Linked DNA regions of Oryctolagus cuniculus. The protein of the gene in region 2 purifies or fractionates together with the protein of the main gene of each other region. This does not show direct contact. Links are inferred from orthologs where the notes say so. Each region holds a gene or a part of one and is shown on either strand. Other genes may lie near its edges. The genes, in order: CTBP1 and PRDM16.

Region 1 (7,217 bases), on a different chromosome or scaffold from region 2:
GGCGCCCTCCCCTCCCCCTCCCCCAGGCGTGAGGACCACGGGGCAGAGGCGCCCACCTGTGATGGCGCGGCGGATCTCGCGGGCCGCTTCCTCCCGCATCTCGATGGACGCCTGCTCGCTGTACCATGCGGCGTGCGGGGTGCAGATGAGGTTGGGTGCGTCTTTCAGGGGGCCTTGGCTAAAGCTGGGGTGGCAAAGGACTGGTCAGCGCAGCCCAGCCCCGCGGCCAGGACACTGCCCCCAGTGAGCTCAGGTCCTGCCACAAGCACCCAGGCCAGCGAGAGCCAGGAAGGTCAGCCCGGTGAAGGCCAAGGCCGGGCCCGAACCAAGCACGGCGGGACTGCCTGAGGCCAGGCCAGATGCCACTCAAGGGCACTGACCAGCAAGAGGCCCCTGGCCTGCAGCCACAGGCTCGCGTGCCCACCCACGCAGACAGAGCCCCGACGCCGGGCAGCCCGCACCTGAAGGGCTCCGACTCGTGCACGTCCAGCGCCGCGCCGCGGATCCGGCCCTCCTTGAGGGCCTGGGCCAAGGCCTTCTCGTCCACCAGGCCGCCTCGCGCCGTGTTCACCAGGAAGGCCCCCTGCCGCATCTGGGGGATGGACAGGGAGGCTGGCACCAGGCAGCGCCCCGGGCCACTGGGGAAGAGGCCCGGCCCCGGCCCCGGCCCGCCCAGCCGCGGCTGCAGCGCCCCCTGGGGAGGGAGTTCAGCACCGCGAGGCCCCGGCCGGCAGCCAGACCCGGCCAGGGTGGGCTGTGTGGAGCTCCGTGCCAGGGCAGGGCCGTTCTTGCCTTCACAGACGGCCCTGGAGCCGGCTGCCCCGTCTTGCGGTCAGCGTCTGACTGCCCCCCCTCACCCCGAGGTCCTCCTGGCCCTGGGTCCCAGTGCCACTGCCTGTGCCACTTCCCTGTCACAGCTCCAACCACCCCCCCACCCTTTGACCATGGGAGAGAGGGTGTGGCAGGCCCCTTCCACCATACGTGTGGACCCGTGTGCACCCCCACCCCCTGCAGCAAGCAAACAAGTGACCATCAAAGGCCTGGAGCTGCAGGAGGCCACCTGGCTGCCCCCGCAGGACCGCCCCATGGACAGGGCCACAGGCAGAGGCCCCTGTGGACAGGGCAGTCCCGTGCACAGGCCCCGTGGACAGGCCCCATGGACAGACCCCGTGGACAGGGCCACCCCGTGCACAGGCCCCATGGACAGGGCCACAGGCAGAGACCCCCGTGGACAGGGCAGCCCCGTGCACAGGCCCCGTGCACAGGGCAGCCCCGTGGACAGTGGACAGGCCCCGTGGACAGTGGACAGGGCCGCCCCACGCACAGGCCCCCATGGACAGTGGACAGGCCCCATGGACAGGGGACAGGGCCGCCCCGTGGACAGTGTACAGGCCCGGCGGCACCTGCTTCACGGTGAAGTCGTTGATGAGGTGGTGGTTGTGCTCGTTGAGGCCGCAGTGCAGGGTCACGCAGTCGCTGTGGAACAGCAGGTCCTGCAGGGTGCCCACGCGCTGCAGCCCCAGCGCCCGCTCCACGCCGTCCGGCAGGTACGGGTCGTAGAACAGCACGCTGAAGCCGAACGCCTTGGCCCGCAGCGCCACCGCCTGCCCCACACGGCCTGCGGGTGGAGACCCCACATGAGACACATGCCACGTGGTCACCATGAGACCAGAACACGACCACCGTGTGAGCCGTGTCACATGGCCACGGAGACAGGTGCCGCGTGAACACCGCGTGAACACCGTGGTGGGTGCCGCATGACCACCGCGAGCCCCGTGTCTGCACCCCATGAGCCCCACGTCCTTGTGGCCAGAGTCAGCCCCACAGCCAGCTCTGTCCCCTCTGCAGGGGTGACACGAGATGCCTGGAACCACACACAATGCTGTGCACACATGCACCGTGGCCACACCTCTGGTCCGGCTTCAAGTCCAGCTCAGCGGTGTCTCTGGATCTGAATTCCGGCCGCCACCAGGGGAGACGGCAACCTGGGAGCCGCTGCTCTGAGCTTGGCCCTGAGAAGCGGTGCAGGGCGGGCAGGTGCGCTTCCCCAGCCCCGGTGCCGGCTGTGGCCCCGCCAGGACCCACCTGCTGCCCAGCCCCACCACGCGAGCAGCCGAGCGCTGGGCTGCGGTCAGGGCGGAGGCTGGCTCCTCGCGTGCCTGCTGTGCTGCCAGGGACGACACGGGCTGGGCTCCAGGAGCCCGGGCGGGAGGGGAAGCTGCCCCAACACGGGACGAGCGGGGCAGGGCTAGGGTGTGGGCGCATGCCACCCTCTTGGAGGGACGGAGGCCAGGGCACAAAGCTCAGAACACGCTCCATGCAGATCACGGGCCAGCAACGCCTCGGACGGAAGGGAAGCCATCAGGCGGCTTGGGCCCTAGCCCGGCTGCCGGCCAGGGGACCGCCTTGGGTGTGGACGGGACTCCTGGGAGGGTCCCCCGTGAGGAACGAGAGGACACAGAGAGGCGGGCGACGTCCTGGTCACAGGAAGAGCAGGCATAGTAGAGAACATTCTAGAAAACAGACAGGACAGGCGCCACCCAGAGCAGGAGCGTTCCGGAACCCACGTCTCTCACAGACACACAGGTGCAGCAACCTCCAGGATGAGTTGCAAGCAGGGGCCGTCTGCACGGGGGTGGAGACCCCAACTCACAAAACGTGGGCCAGGGTCCCAGGAGCCGCTGAGGGGTCTGGGGCATGGTAACAAATACCCAGGGGGCTGGCGCTGTGGCAGAGCGGGTAAAACTGCCGCCTGCAGGGCCGGCATTCCATATGGGCGCCGGTTCCAGTCCCGGCTGCTCCACTTCCAACCCAGCTCCTACCATGGCCTGGGAAAGCAGTGGAAGGTGGCTCAAGTCCTTGGGCCCCTGCACCCACGTGGGAGACCCGGAAGAAGCTCCTGGCTCCTAGCTTTGAATCGGCACAGCTCCGGCTGTTGAGGTCATCTGGGGAGTGAACCAGCGGATGGAAGACCTCTCTCTCTCTCTCTGCCTCTCCTCTCTCTGTGTAACTCTGACTTTCAAATAAATACATAAAACTTAAAAAAAAAAAAAAAAAAAAAGAAAGAAAGAAAGAAATCCTGGGGCCCCCACAGCAGGGCAGGGGTGGGGTCTCAGACATTTGGAAAAGTGCACACGGCACGGCCAGGAGAGGCCTCCCCCGTGAAGCCCCAGCCATGGTTCTAGAACTTTCTCTGCAGCTATGGGTAAAGGACCGGTGGGGCGGGGCGCAGGGCACTGCCAGTGCTGGGGGCGGGGGCGGGGGTGGGGGCAGGAGAGGGCCCCAGCGCTGAGCCCTTCACCTACAGGGCCTGGACGGAGCTGCTGGTCCTGGCTCCAGCCAAGCCCCTGCTGTGCGGGCATCTGGGGGGTGAACGGCAGATGGGGCTTGCTCTGTCACTCTCCCGTCTGTGTCTGTCACTGTCTCGGTCACGCTCGCTCTGTCTCTGTCACTCTCACTCTGCCTGTCTCTCCCTCACACACACACACACACACACACACACACACACACACAGGGGTGCAGTCACGCAGTGGGGTCCCCTTCACCAGCAGGAGGTCCTGAGTGACACCTGAAGCCGCTGCCCGACTGGGGAACACACAGGGTGCCGAGGTCACGACCCCACCTCAGACCCGCATGGGGTGCAGAGGTGCCCCGTGCCAGCAGCAGCAGGGAGACAGCTGCTCCACTTGGCCAGCAGTGGCCATCACATGGGTCACCCGTGGAACCCACAGAGGGGCACACACAGGGGCGTGGGCAGGGCTCAGGTCTGCCCAGTGGGGCTGCGGCACTCGGGGGCGTCCCCGGACACAGAACCTCAGCCCTCGGCTCCCAGAAGGCCCCAGGCTCAGGAGAACCACACCGAGGGCCACAGGCTCAGGCCACACTGGACACTGGCCGCCAGAGCAGGGCACCCCAGATGCCGAGACCACGGCAGGAGCCCCGCAGGCCACAGCTGCCCGTGCCACAGGCCGTGTGTCCACAGCAAACCTCCCACAGCCCAGCTTCTGCCCGTTCTGCAAATCGCGTGTGCCAGGGACCCGGAGGACGCCGCCAGTAGGGGCAGGCCCGGACAGCCACAGCACCCACCCACCCCCAGGCAATACAGCCCGTACCCCTGGTCAGCGCAATGCCCGGCCGAGAACCAGGCTTGGGGCCACAGCCAGGGCCAGCGCCTTCCAGAGAAAGGCCTGAGGCCCCGCGAGACGGCTTCTGGGGCTCACACGGGACCCCCTCTCCCAGCCCCGGCTCCCTGCACGACACTTCCGGGGCCACCCAGACTCACACGTGTGCCTCTCTAGGCCATGCTGGGGCCTGGCGCCCACACGTGACAAGGAAGCGGACGGGACAGAGACCACCCCCAGGGGCACAGGCTCTGGGCACCCTCACCTGATGGCAGCACCCACCTGGCTGCACATCTGGTGCCTGTGCCCATGCAACGCCCACGTGTTCCCCACGTGTGACAACTCTCAGGCCTGTGTGCCCGATAGCCGTGTCCCTGTGCTCGTATCAGCCACGTGTGTGCCCATGACACCCACGTGATGCCTGTGACACAGGCGTGGTGCCCAGGTATATCATGCCTGTGATACCCATGTGATGCCCACATATGGCCATCTCGTCTGCATATGATACCCGTGTGATGCCTTGATGTTCATGGGACACCCATGTCCCTGTGTCATGACACCCATGTGATACCCACGTGTGCCTGTCATTTGTGTGACGCACGTGACATTCCTGTGATGTTCTTGTGCCCGTGTCACGTGATGCCCGTTAGAACTGTTGACATGAGTGTGACATCCATGTGTGTATGTGATGTGATAGCTGCTGACACCTGTGTGTGACGTCCATGTTGTGTGTGTGACACCCGTGACGGCTGCTGACATCTGCGTGACGTCTGTGTATGTGCGTGTGTGATGCCCACGGCGCCCCCCCGGGCTGCCCCCCATCCTTTGCCGAGCCAGCGGCCACGCACCCAGTCCGATGATGCCCAGGGTCTCCCCGCGGATCCTCGCGGCCCCCGAGGCCACCTCCCGGATCTGCTCCACGCTCTGCACCCGCGTGCCCTCCCGCAGCGCCTGGTGCAGCCACGTCGTGCGCCGGTACAGATTGAGGACGTGGCACATGGTGGAGTCCGCCGTCTCCTCCACGGCCGCGGCGGGCACGTTGCACACGGCGATGCCTGTGGGGACACAGGGTCAGCCTGGCCCGTGACAGGCGTGGGACTGACTCGGGGGCCACACGGCAGTCAGCCCAGCCCCAGGCTGCGGACTCCTGTGGGAGCCCCACGCGGGGCGGGGCCTGGGCGGCAGGGACGGGCACCTACCCAAGTCCCCGGCTGACTTGATGTCGATGTTGTCGAAGCCGCTGCCAATGCGGACGATGACGCGCAGGGCCTTGAACTTCTCCAGGTCCTCCCTGGTCAGCGTGATGGTGTGGTACATGAGGGCGCCCACGGCCTCGTTCAGCACCTGTGGGGGAGGGGAAGGGGACAGAGCGTGGGGTACACGAGGGCGCCCACGGCCTCGTCAGCACCTGTGGCGGGGGGCAGAGCGTGGGGTACAGCAGGGCCCCCAGCCCTGAGCACCGTGGGGGGCCACAGCCACGGCAAAGGGGGGCTCTGAGGAGCCGTGGCCCAAGCCTGAGCCCAGACAGCAGTGGAGCAGGAACGGGGCCACTGGCCGTGACCCCCAGCAGGGGTGAGCCCTGAAACACACACGAGTCCCCAGTGACAAACCCACCCAGAAACGCTGTCCCCACGGCCCACAGCACGCGCGTGGTCCTGGGACGTGACACGGGAGTCCAGGGCGCACACGCTGACCCTGGGCACAGCCGGGGCCCTGACAAGGCTCCATTCCCACGACCCAGCTGGCAGGGTGGCCCGGCCTCAGCTGTGCAGGCCATCGCCCCGTGCTCGGCCGGGGTGGACACGGCCGCGGGAGCACAGGCTGCGGCCTGGTGGGGGCGCACGTCCCACACCCTACACACACCCCACATGCGGCACACACATCCCACACGCTGCACATGTCACACGTAACACACACACGCCACATGCCACACGCTGCACACGTCACACGTAACACATACACACACGCCACGTGCCACACGCTGCACACGTAACACATACACACACGCCACGTGCCACACGCTGCACACGTCACACGTAACACATACACACACGCCACATGCCACACGCTGCACACGTCACACGTAACACATACACACACGCCACATGCCACACGCTGCACACGTCACACGTAACACATACACACACGTCACATGCCACACGCTGCACACGTCACACGTAACACATACACACACGCCACATGCCACACGCTGCACACGTCACACGTAACACATACACACACGCCACGTGCCACACGCTGCACACGTAACACATACACACACGCCACGTGCCACACGCTGCACACGTCACACGTAACACATACACACACGCCACATGCCACACGCTGCACACGTCACACGTAACACATACACACACGCCACGTGCCACACGCTGCACACGTCACACGTAACACATACACACACGCCACATGCCACACGCTGCACACGTCACACGTAACACATACACACACGCCACATGCCACACGCTGCACACGTCACACGTAACACATACACACACGCCACATGCCACACGCTGCACACGTCACACGTAACACATACACACACGCCACATGCCACACGCTGCACACGTCACACGTAACACATACACACACGCCACATGCCACACGCTGCACACGTCACACGTAACACATACACACACGCCACATGCCACACGCTGCACATACCCCACGTCACGCACACTGCACACGCTGCACGTGTCACGTGCACACGTCACACATGCGTGCACACACAGCGGCAGCCTTCCTACCCTGAGCTTGAGCCGCGGGGAGAGTGCAGGGAGGGAGTGGCCAGGCCCCGCGTCCTGCCCAGGGCACCTGGGCCCCTCCCGTGGTCTGAGATCTCCCTGCCCCCGCGGCCCACGGTGCTGCCATGGTGTCGAGGACCTGGTGCCGGCCTGGTCCTGCTCACAGCTGCCGGAGGGACCCAGGTGGGGCTGGGAGGCGCCTGGGGGCCTGGCCCACCACCTGGATCGGTCCGGTGCCCCCAGGGCGGCCCTCACACGTGCGGAACGCTGAAGGCCCTCTGAGGTGCGGCCCCGGGGCCTGGGCTCGCGACCAGCTCGTCCCTGCCCAGGCCCC
Region 2 (7,217 bases):
ATCTCCTGTGTAAGCTGGCGGGAGCCGGGACGATGACACGGGCTACACAGTTCTAGTCTACAGCATCGACCTCAGATCCGGCTGCTCCCGGCGTCACGGAAGGAATTCGTACGCAAGCACATTTGTCTGCATCACAAGCATCGAAATGAAATTCGCAAAACCGCTCTTGGAAAGGGTCGCTCCCCTCACCTCCTCCCATCCCCGCCTTCTCCCGCCGCGAGCTCCACATTCGGACCCAGCCCGGGTCGCGCGGCCGGTGAGTGCACCCACGGGCTTCTCCACGTGGTGAAGATTCACGGACACACGGTGAAGACCGCCGAGCACGAGTCACGCACAGTTCACTACAGACAACAGGAGCAACTCACAACCAGGGGATGCGGGACAAGCACCAGCCTCCTTCCTGGGGTCTTTTTTCATTTTCTTTTTTTTAAAAAAACATATGAAAACCAGACATTTACTTTTGATTTATTTTTCAACACTATACAGCTCTAAAAGGAACAAAAACGAAGCAGAAACTAAGGCAGATCTGTAATGTAACAACGGCCAAGGGCAGCAGGACAGATGCTCTCCGTTACAAAGTATCGAGCCGCACACGCGTGCACGGGCAGCCACCAGCCCTCTGTGCCCGTGGTGGCGAGCTGCTGGCGGAACCTCAGGCCGGCTGCCTGCACGTGGCTCACACGCTGGGAGACCTGGGAGACCCGCGCTGCCCGGCCCCGTCTTGTTTGTTTTCCCAGAAGTGGGCCCAAGGAATGCGTGGCACTAAAGGGTCACGTGGCAAACGCGGCGTGGGAGGAGGGAGGAAAAGTTCTCGGGAGAACGCGAGAACGTGTTTGTCACAGTTTCGCTCAAGGTGCAGAGCTTTGTGGCTTTCACGCCCTGCCCCCACCTGCTGGGCGCTGCCCCCGCCCCCAGGAAGCACAGTGCACAGAACTCTTAGCAGGTTCAGTTATGCGGGCGGGGGGCGGGGGCTGCAGTCCAGTGCTTCGAGGCTCGGAGGCCTGCACACGTGGTAAAAGCACTCAGGCGAGGGGCTCCCAGCTCCCGGGGCAGCAGCCAGGCAGAGGAACCAAGGGCCAGACCCCGGGGACCAGGGCTGTGCGGGGCCGGGGAGGGCCTGCAGGGACCTAGCACAGGAAGGCCCCGGCCTGGCGGCCTCTCCCACACCTGTGCCCGGTCCGTGCACTGAGCCGTGCCCGGGGCTGGGGAGGCCGCTGGAATCCCTGCCCTGGGTGTGGTCAGGGACTCTGGGGACCTGCTCCTGGCCCGAGGCCAGGGGCCTCCGCATGTCCTGATCGTCCCGGGGGCGCGGGGGGCCTGGGGGGAGGGTGCTGACTCACAAGGGCTGCAGGGTGGCGGAGGGAAGGAGCGGGAGGGGCCCCTGGATTTCAGTTTTGGGGAGCAAGGTCGGCACCAGGGTAGTAGCCTTGTGTGAACCCCCGCAGTGGTCCGCCAGCCAGCAGCCCCGCCCAGTGCCTGCCTGTGCTGCTCGGTGACCTGGCTCCCACTGGCGTTCCGGGGGCCGGCATCATGGCTCCCTGCCTCTCAGTGGGCCTCCTGGTCCTGACAGTGGCCGGCTGAGGGCCCAGGCACTGCTGGGCTGGGGCTGGAGCTGGCGCAGGGTCAAGCCAGGTGCGCAGGACCGGCTGGTGGAGGCCATGTTTTGGGGGTGCACCAGCATGGGAGATCAGTGCTCTCTTGGTTGGGGGGTTTTGGGACAGAGCCCCCCAACCCTAATGCCAAGTGGTGGGAGTAGGGACATGCTCGAGGGGGAACGGCTGGTGGTCCTCACTGTCGGCGACTCTCCGGGAAGAAGAGAAATCTCCAGAGAGGGGGCGGAGCTAGCGCCCCGGGGCCGCGGAGGGCCCAGGGGAGGGCAGCCCCTGCCTGCTCGGTCACTGCCCAGGAGAGACACGTGGGAGAGAGAGAGAGAGAGAGAGAGAGAGACGGACAGAGGAGGAGTCTTAGCACACAAAGAAGCACACAGCTCATTCGTTCGCAGGAGAAATCATATAATTTGGTTTACAGAAATAGGGTGTTTACAGGGTCGCGTTCAGATGAGGGGAGACTTCCTACGTGGTCGGTACCTGGCGGCCCGGCTGCGGCTGGGCTGCAGGCTTCCGACGGGGCCGCGCCAGCTCCTCGGCTCCCGCCTTGCCGCTGCACACGCTCGTGCTAGGCGGCCTCCGTCTTGCGTCCAGGTAGATCCGGCGAGGGCTGACCCCTGACCCCAGGACCTGCAGCGCTGCGTCGCCCACAGGGGCCTCTCTGCCGTGAGTCTCCGGCAGGAGCCTGGACCCCGGCACCCACTGTCTTTGGCCTGGAGCAGCCAGGACACGCGTGCGTCAGGGCCCCCGGGGCGCACACGGAGGAGGTGTCCTTGGAATGACAAGTCCACGCGGCCGCGGCCGCAGTCGTCTGCGTTCTCGCGGTTTCCTCTTAAGGGCAACGTGGGTGATTTTTTCTCTTCTTAGTGGGACACTAGTATGAGGATTTGTTTTTTTCCCCAAACGACAAAAGAAATAAATAGAACACTCGTCGTCAATGCGAATGCGTCTGAAACTCAGACTGATCAGGGCGTGATTGTCTGGGCACGGGCGGCGGCGGCGGCAGGAGTCGCGGCGGGCGGGGCGGGGTATTTGGCACGTCAGCTGGCCGCCCTCCCTGGTGACGCATCACACAACACACAACCTTATACACGGTTTTGGTCCCTCACTAGATACTTATATTAACATCATTTCTTCACAATAAGAATGTCTAATGCCAAAAAAAATACTGTTAAGGAAGAAATAAAATAAGAAAAGAAATGATTAGAAAAATTACAAGTTATATACAGATTAAGGTGAATTCCATCACGGAAAAATTATACTTCGAAGTTGGCCCCATGGGAATAATTTAAAGCCCGTCCCAGTGGAGAAGCCACTGCCGTGCCCGGGGGCTGGGCGCTCTCTCTGCAGCCCCGGACGTCTGGCCAGGAGCCTGCGCCAAGGGTGGCACGGCGGGGTGGCCGACCTGGGGCCGTAGGCACAGGTAGCGCTTGGCGTCCTGGTGCAGCCGAGCTGCGCAGCCCCCGCCCCGCCCTGGGTGGCCACGGGCAGGACACGGAGCCAGAATGTGGCCAATAGGCCCCACCTCTGGAAGGGTGGCCAGGGCCCCCGGCCACCCCCGGGTGAGGGCCTGAGCCTCGGGCTCCTGGCTTCCCCACGAAGCCGGGGAGTCTGGGGTGGTCGCCCGTGGGTTCTCCAGCAGCCGCGTGGAGGCCCTGGCAGGAGCTCCAGGCCGCCCAGGCGGGCACACCTCCAGGTCCTGGCCCCGGGCAGGCCTGCAGCCCGGGCACCGCGTCTGAGACGCCTCGGTCCAGTCTGCACCCCACGCTCTGCCTCGGGGCACCCGGAATCAACCTGGCTTGTACAAATGGGATCCGAGATAGAAAATCTCTCCGTTATCTACAGTATAAAGAGCTCGCCCAAGCACAGTGCTGGCTCCCAGCGCCCGGGTTTGCGAGAAGCTGAAATTTCAAAGCAATGCAAAATTACTTTTAAAAAACAATTTGCAAGTCATTTTTTTGATTTTTAAAAAATACTGTCTATTTTTAAAACCCACATGCTTAAATAGAATCTGTAGTCAATAAGATTACCAAAAGCGTCACTCTTGTCATTCTCATTATAAAAAGCGCCCGCGCCCGGTCTCGGCAGAGCGCACCTGCCCCGGGCCGGTCCCTTCCTCGGTGACTCCGGGCGCCCGGAAGCGGCCCAGCTCCTGGCCCGGCCTGGGGCTGCTTTGGAGCGGCAGCTCCGGGAGGCGAGGGCTGGGCTCGACCGACCAGGCCCAGGGCCGGTTTCCAGGGATGAGGAGGGAGCTCCCCCCAGCCCCGGGGCTTGCAGCTTCTGAGTCTTCATCAGGAAAGTTCGACGCGGCCCACGCAGGCAGGGGACGGCTGTGGGGGTGGTCGGAGGAGGTGACACGGGGCTTCTCCCTGGCCTCGCCTTCATCCTGGGCAGCCGGCACCCTCGCTCTGGACTCCAGGCCCATCAGAGGTGGTTCATGGGGTTAAAGGCGCCGGACTCCGAGGCGGCTCCCGCCATGTTCAGCCAAGCGTCCAGCGAGCTCTGGGAGGGGGTGTGGAGGGCAGCATCCTCCGAGAGGGACAGCATCATTGCGTATGCCTGTGGGGGGGACACGCAGGCGGGCCGTGAGCAGGGAGCCTCCCCCTGGCCCACACTGTGGGGCGGAGGGCAGCGGGGCCAGGGAGACCCAGAGTCTCCCCTGCCCTGCAGCGGGGAGGGAGAAGGGCCATCCCTCCTGCCCAGAGCGACGCCAAGAGTCCCCGTCCTGGCCAGGGGCTCGCTCGCGGTCACCCTGCCCCGCCCCTGCGTGGTTCGGTTGGTGATCGGGAGTTAAGCGCAGGTGTCTGCTCTGGGCACAGGTGGGAGTTCCTGTGAGACCCTGCGCTCCTGCCGGGCCTGGGGACCCCAGAGCCGCTCTGGGAGTAGGCACCGGAAGCCTCTGCAGGCCACGGAATGATTCGGCGGTGCGGTGGGGGAGAGACGGGGCCGAGCACGGGGTGCTGGGGAGGCACCCAAGTCGACACCCGGACAGAATTAGCAGGAAGACGAAAGACAGACATGCAGACGGCTGTAGCTGAGACGGGGCGAGGCTGTCTGGGGGGCCGGCTGCAGGGAGACAGCAGGTGGGCACTGCGGCCGCCTACGCTGGGGCCCGGAGGCCAGGGCGTCGGGGCCTAGTGACTCCCTGGCCCTGGTCACGGCTGCAGCTTAGCAGCAGGGGCCACCCGGCTGAGTGGCCGCCCCCGGGCACGGGGCTGTGGGTCGCACTGGCCCACAGCAGAGAGGGAAGTGGGGGCTGGGGCTGCAGGCCATAGCGTGGCCGGGAACCTGCTCACAGACCCTGCCCGCTGCCCTGAGGGAGGGGGCCCAGGGGAGGGGGCCCACGGCCGCAAGGCCACAGTGCCCCGGGCTGCTCTCGGCCCCTCCCGGCTCCACTGGCACCCTCGGGCCTCAGGGGTCCTATCTGTCTCCAGGGGCCGAGGGTCGGGCGGGGTCCCGAGCTCCCCGGGGAGGCGGGTACCTACCTGGCTCTTAGCCTGCCTGTACAGGGTCTGCTTTAAAGCCTCAGAATCTACGGAGGGGTTAAGCACATCTCTCACTTCAAACGCTTCCTCTGCGGCTCTGCGGAGGTCCAGCCCCTTCCCGAAGGTCGGCATTGGCTCCAGAGCTAACAGGCCGCCTTCGCGCTCCTCAACACACCTGCACCAAGGACCGGGGAGAGGGGCCTGGGGTGAGCCCCCCGAGGCCGCGCGCCCGGCTCCGGGCCTGCACAAGCCACACGCACAGGAGACGGACACACAGACACACGGACACCTGGACGGGAGACCACGTGGAGGCAGGACAGAGGGGGCAGAGGCCCCAAGGCGTGAGTGGTGCACAGGGCGTGCGGGGTCCCGGGGAGGCCTTGATTCGCTGCGACTTGGGGGAAGCTCCGGCAGGGTGGGGCTGCCCCTCCCAGGACCCGGGGTGGCGCCGAGGCGGCGGCCTCCCCCGGGGGAATCAGGATGCTGGCGATGTCGCCGGCTGCCGGGAGTCAGAGGCGAGCAGCGGCCTGGCGCCCAGAGCCCCAGCAGGGCTGCAGCCCAGGGGCCCGGCCAGGAGCGCCCTTCCCCAGGGGTGCCCATGGGGCTGAAGCCTTGAGCTCCCGCCGGGGGCGGAGGGAGGCCCCGGCTGGGCGGGGCTGAGGAGGGGGCCACCTTCCTCCACTCAGAGCCCTGCGCACCTTCGGGTGTGGTCAAAGCCCAAGGCCAAGGAGGCGGGCGGCTCCTCGTCCTCCTCATCGTCGTAGGTGCCCTGGGGCTCGGGCGTGGGCGACACGGCGTCCTCCTGGGACTTCCCGGCCAGGCTGTCCTCGTCCTCCTCCAGCTCCTCCTCCTCCTCCTCCTCCCCGTCCTCCGGCTTCTCGCTGGCCAAGCCCGGACACTGGGGGCTCCCGTCCAGGTCCTGGACCGCCGGCCTGAAGGGACAGTGAGCGGGCAGTTGGGCAGCGCTCAGGGGACCCCTGCTCACTCCGGACCCCGAAGGCCGGCGGCCCGGCTCCGTCCGCTCTTCCCGCCCGCTCCTCGCGGCCTGCCAGCCTCTCCCCTAGGAAGCTTTTGGGGCCGCGGCTGCCTTGAGCTGGGCCCCGTCCCTCGTCCCTGTGGGCGCCGGCGGAGGCTGGGAAGATCCAAGGAGGGAGGCCCCACATTCAGGGTCCCCAGCGAGGGGGGTGTTGGGAAGAAGCTGTCTGGCTGCGGCCGAGGGACGCTGCGGAGGGCAGCAGGCGCAGGGCCCCCTGTCTTGTCCAGGTGGCCCTCGGGGACTCTGGGGGACAAGGGGGCGTCTCAGCAGGACATGCGGTGCCTCCGTGGGCTCCTCGCTGCTGGCTCTCACAGCCCCCTCCTTCCCACGTGGCAGATGCCCGATCTGCCTGGTGCCCGGCCACCTGTGGACTGCACTCACACCCGTGTCCCCAGGGGTGGGGGCTCTGGGGCCGGGCGGGTTCTGGGTCCCGCTTCCTGTCCTCCGTGGCTTCTGCCCTCTCGGTGCCGTTGGAGCAGGCCCCTCCGGTCGGCGCTGGGCGGGGCATGGGGCGCTGCAGGCGCAGAGCCCAGGGCCAGCCCCGGCGAGCCCACCACGTCGCTGTGGGTCCTGGCGGCCCCGTGTGGGCCCATGGACGGCTCTCGCTGTCTGAATGGGAGCAGGGACCCCGTTCTCTCCTCCGCATGGCGGGAGCCGGGGGTGGGGCTGCAGGTCCGAGGCTGAGGGGTCGCCAGCCCGGTCCCTGCCTTTCTTGCCTCGTGGCCTCTCTGAGTCCGGCTCCGAATTTCCTCTTCGAACGAGGACGCCGCTTCCAGGCCGATCGGACCCCCACCCCCCCTTTTTTTAAATATTTTTATTTATTTATTAGAGAGGTAGAGTTAGAGAGAGAGAGAGAGAGAGAAAGAGAAAGGTCTTTCCATTGGTTCACTCCCCAAATGGCCGCGATGGCCGGCGCTGTGCCGATCTGAAGCCAGGAGCCAGGTGCTTCTCCTGGTCTCCCATGCGGGTGCAGGGCCCAAGCACTTGGCCCATACCCCACTGCCCTCCCGGGTCACAGCAGAGAGCTGGACTGGAAGAGGAGCAGCCGGGACTTGAACTGGCGCCAATATGGGATGCCAGTGCTGCAGG

The links.
Region 1: the proteins of PRDM16 (region 2) and CTBP1 purify together in Homo sapiens (affinity purification with mass spectrometry; 3 studies listed by BioGRID and IntAct, with this or other methods). This does not show direct contact. The link is inferred for Oryctolagus cuniculus from reciprocal best matches to the Homo sapiens genes PRDM16 and CTBP1.

Annotation. Positions count from the first base shown.
Region 1 is NC_091433.1:409,226-416,442, forward strand, and holds part of CTBP1 (C-terminal-binding protein 1), read right to left. Parts: intron 5,466-7,217; coding exon 5,321-5,465; intron 5,177-5,320; coding exon 4,970-5,176; intron 1,619-4,969; coding exon 1,404-1,618; intron 593-1,403; coding exon 462-592; intron 185-461; coding exon 57-184; intron 1-56. UniProt on the Homo sapiens protein: Corepressor targeting diverse transcription regulators such as GLIS2 or BCL6. Has dehydrogenase activity. Involved in controlling the equilibrium between tubular and stacked structures in the Golgi complex.
Region 2 is NC_091438.1:162,973,547-162,980,763, forward strand, and holds part of PRDM16 (histone-lysine N-methyltransferase PRDM16), read right to left. Parts: intron 6,025-7,217; coding exon 5,791-6,024; intron 5,268-5,790; coding exon 5,093-5,267; intron 4,167-5,092; coding exon 4,032-4,166; 3' UTR 1-4,031. UniProt on the Homo sapiens protein: Binds DNA and functions as a transcriptional regulator. Displays histone methyltransferase activity and monomethylates 'Lys-9' of histone H3 (H3K9me1) in vitro.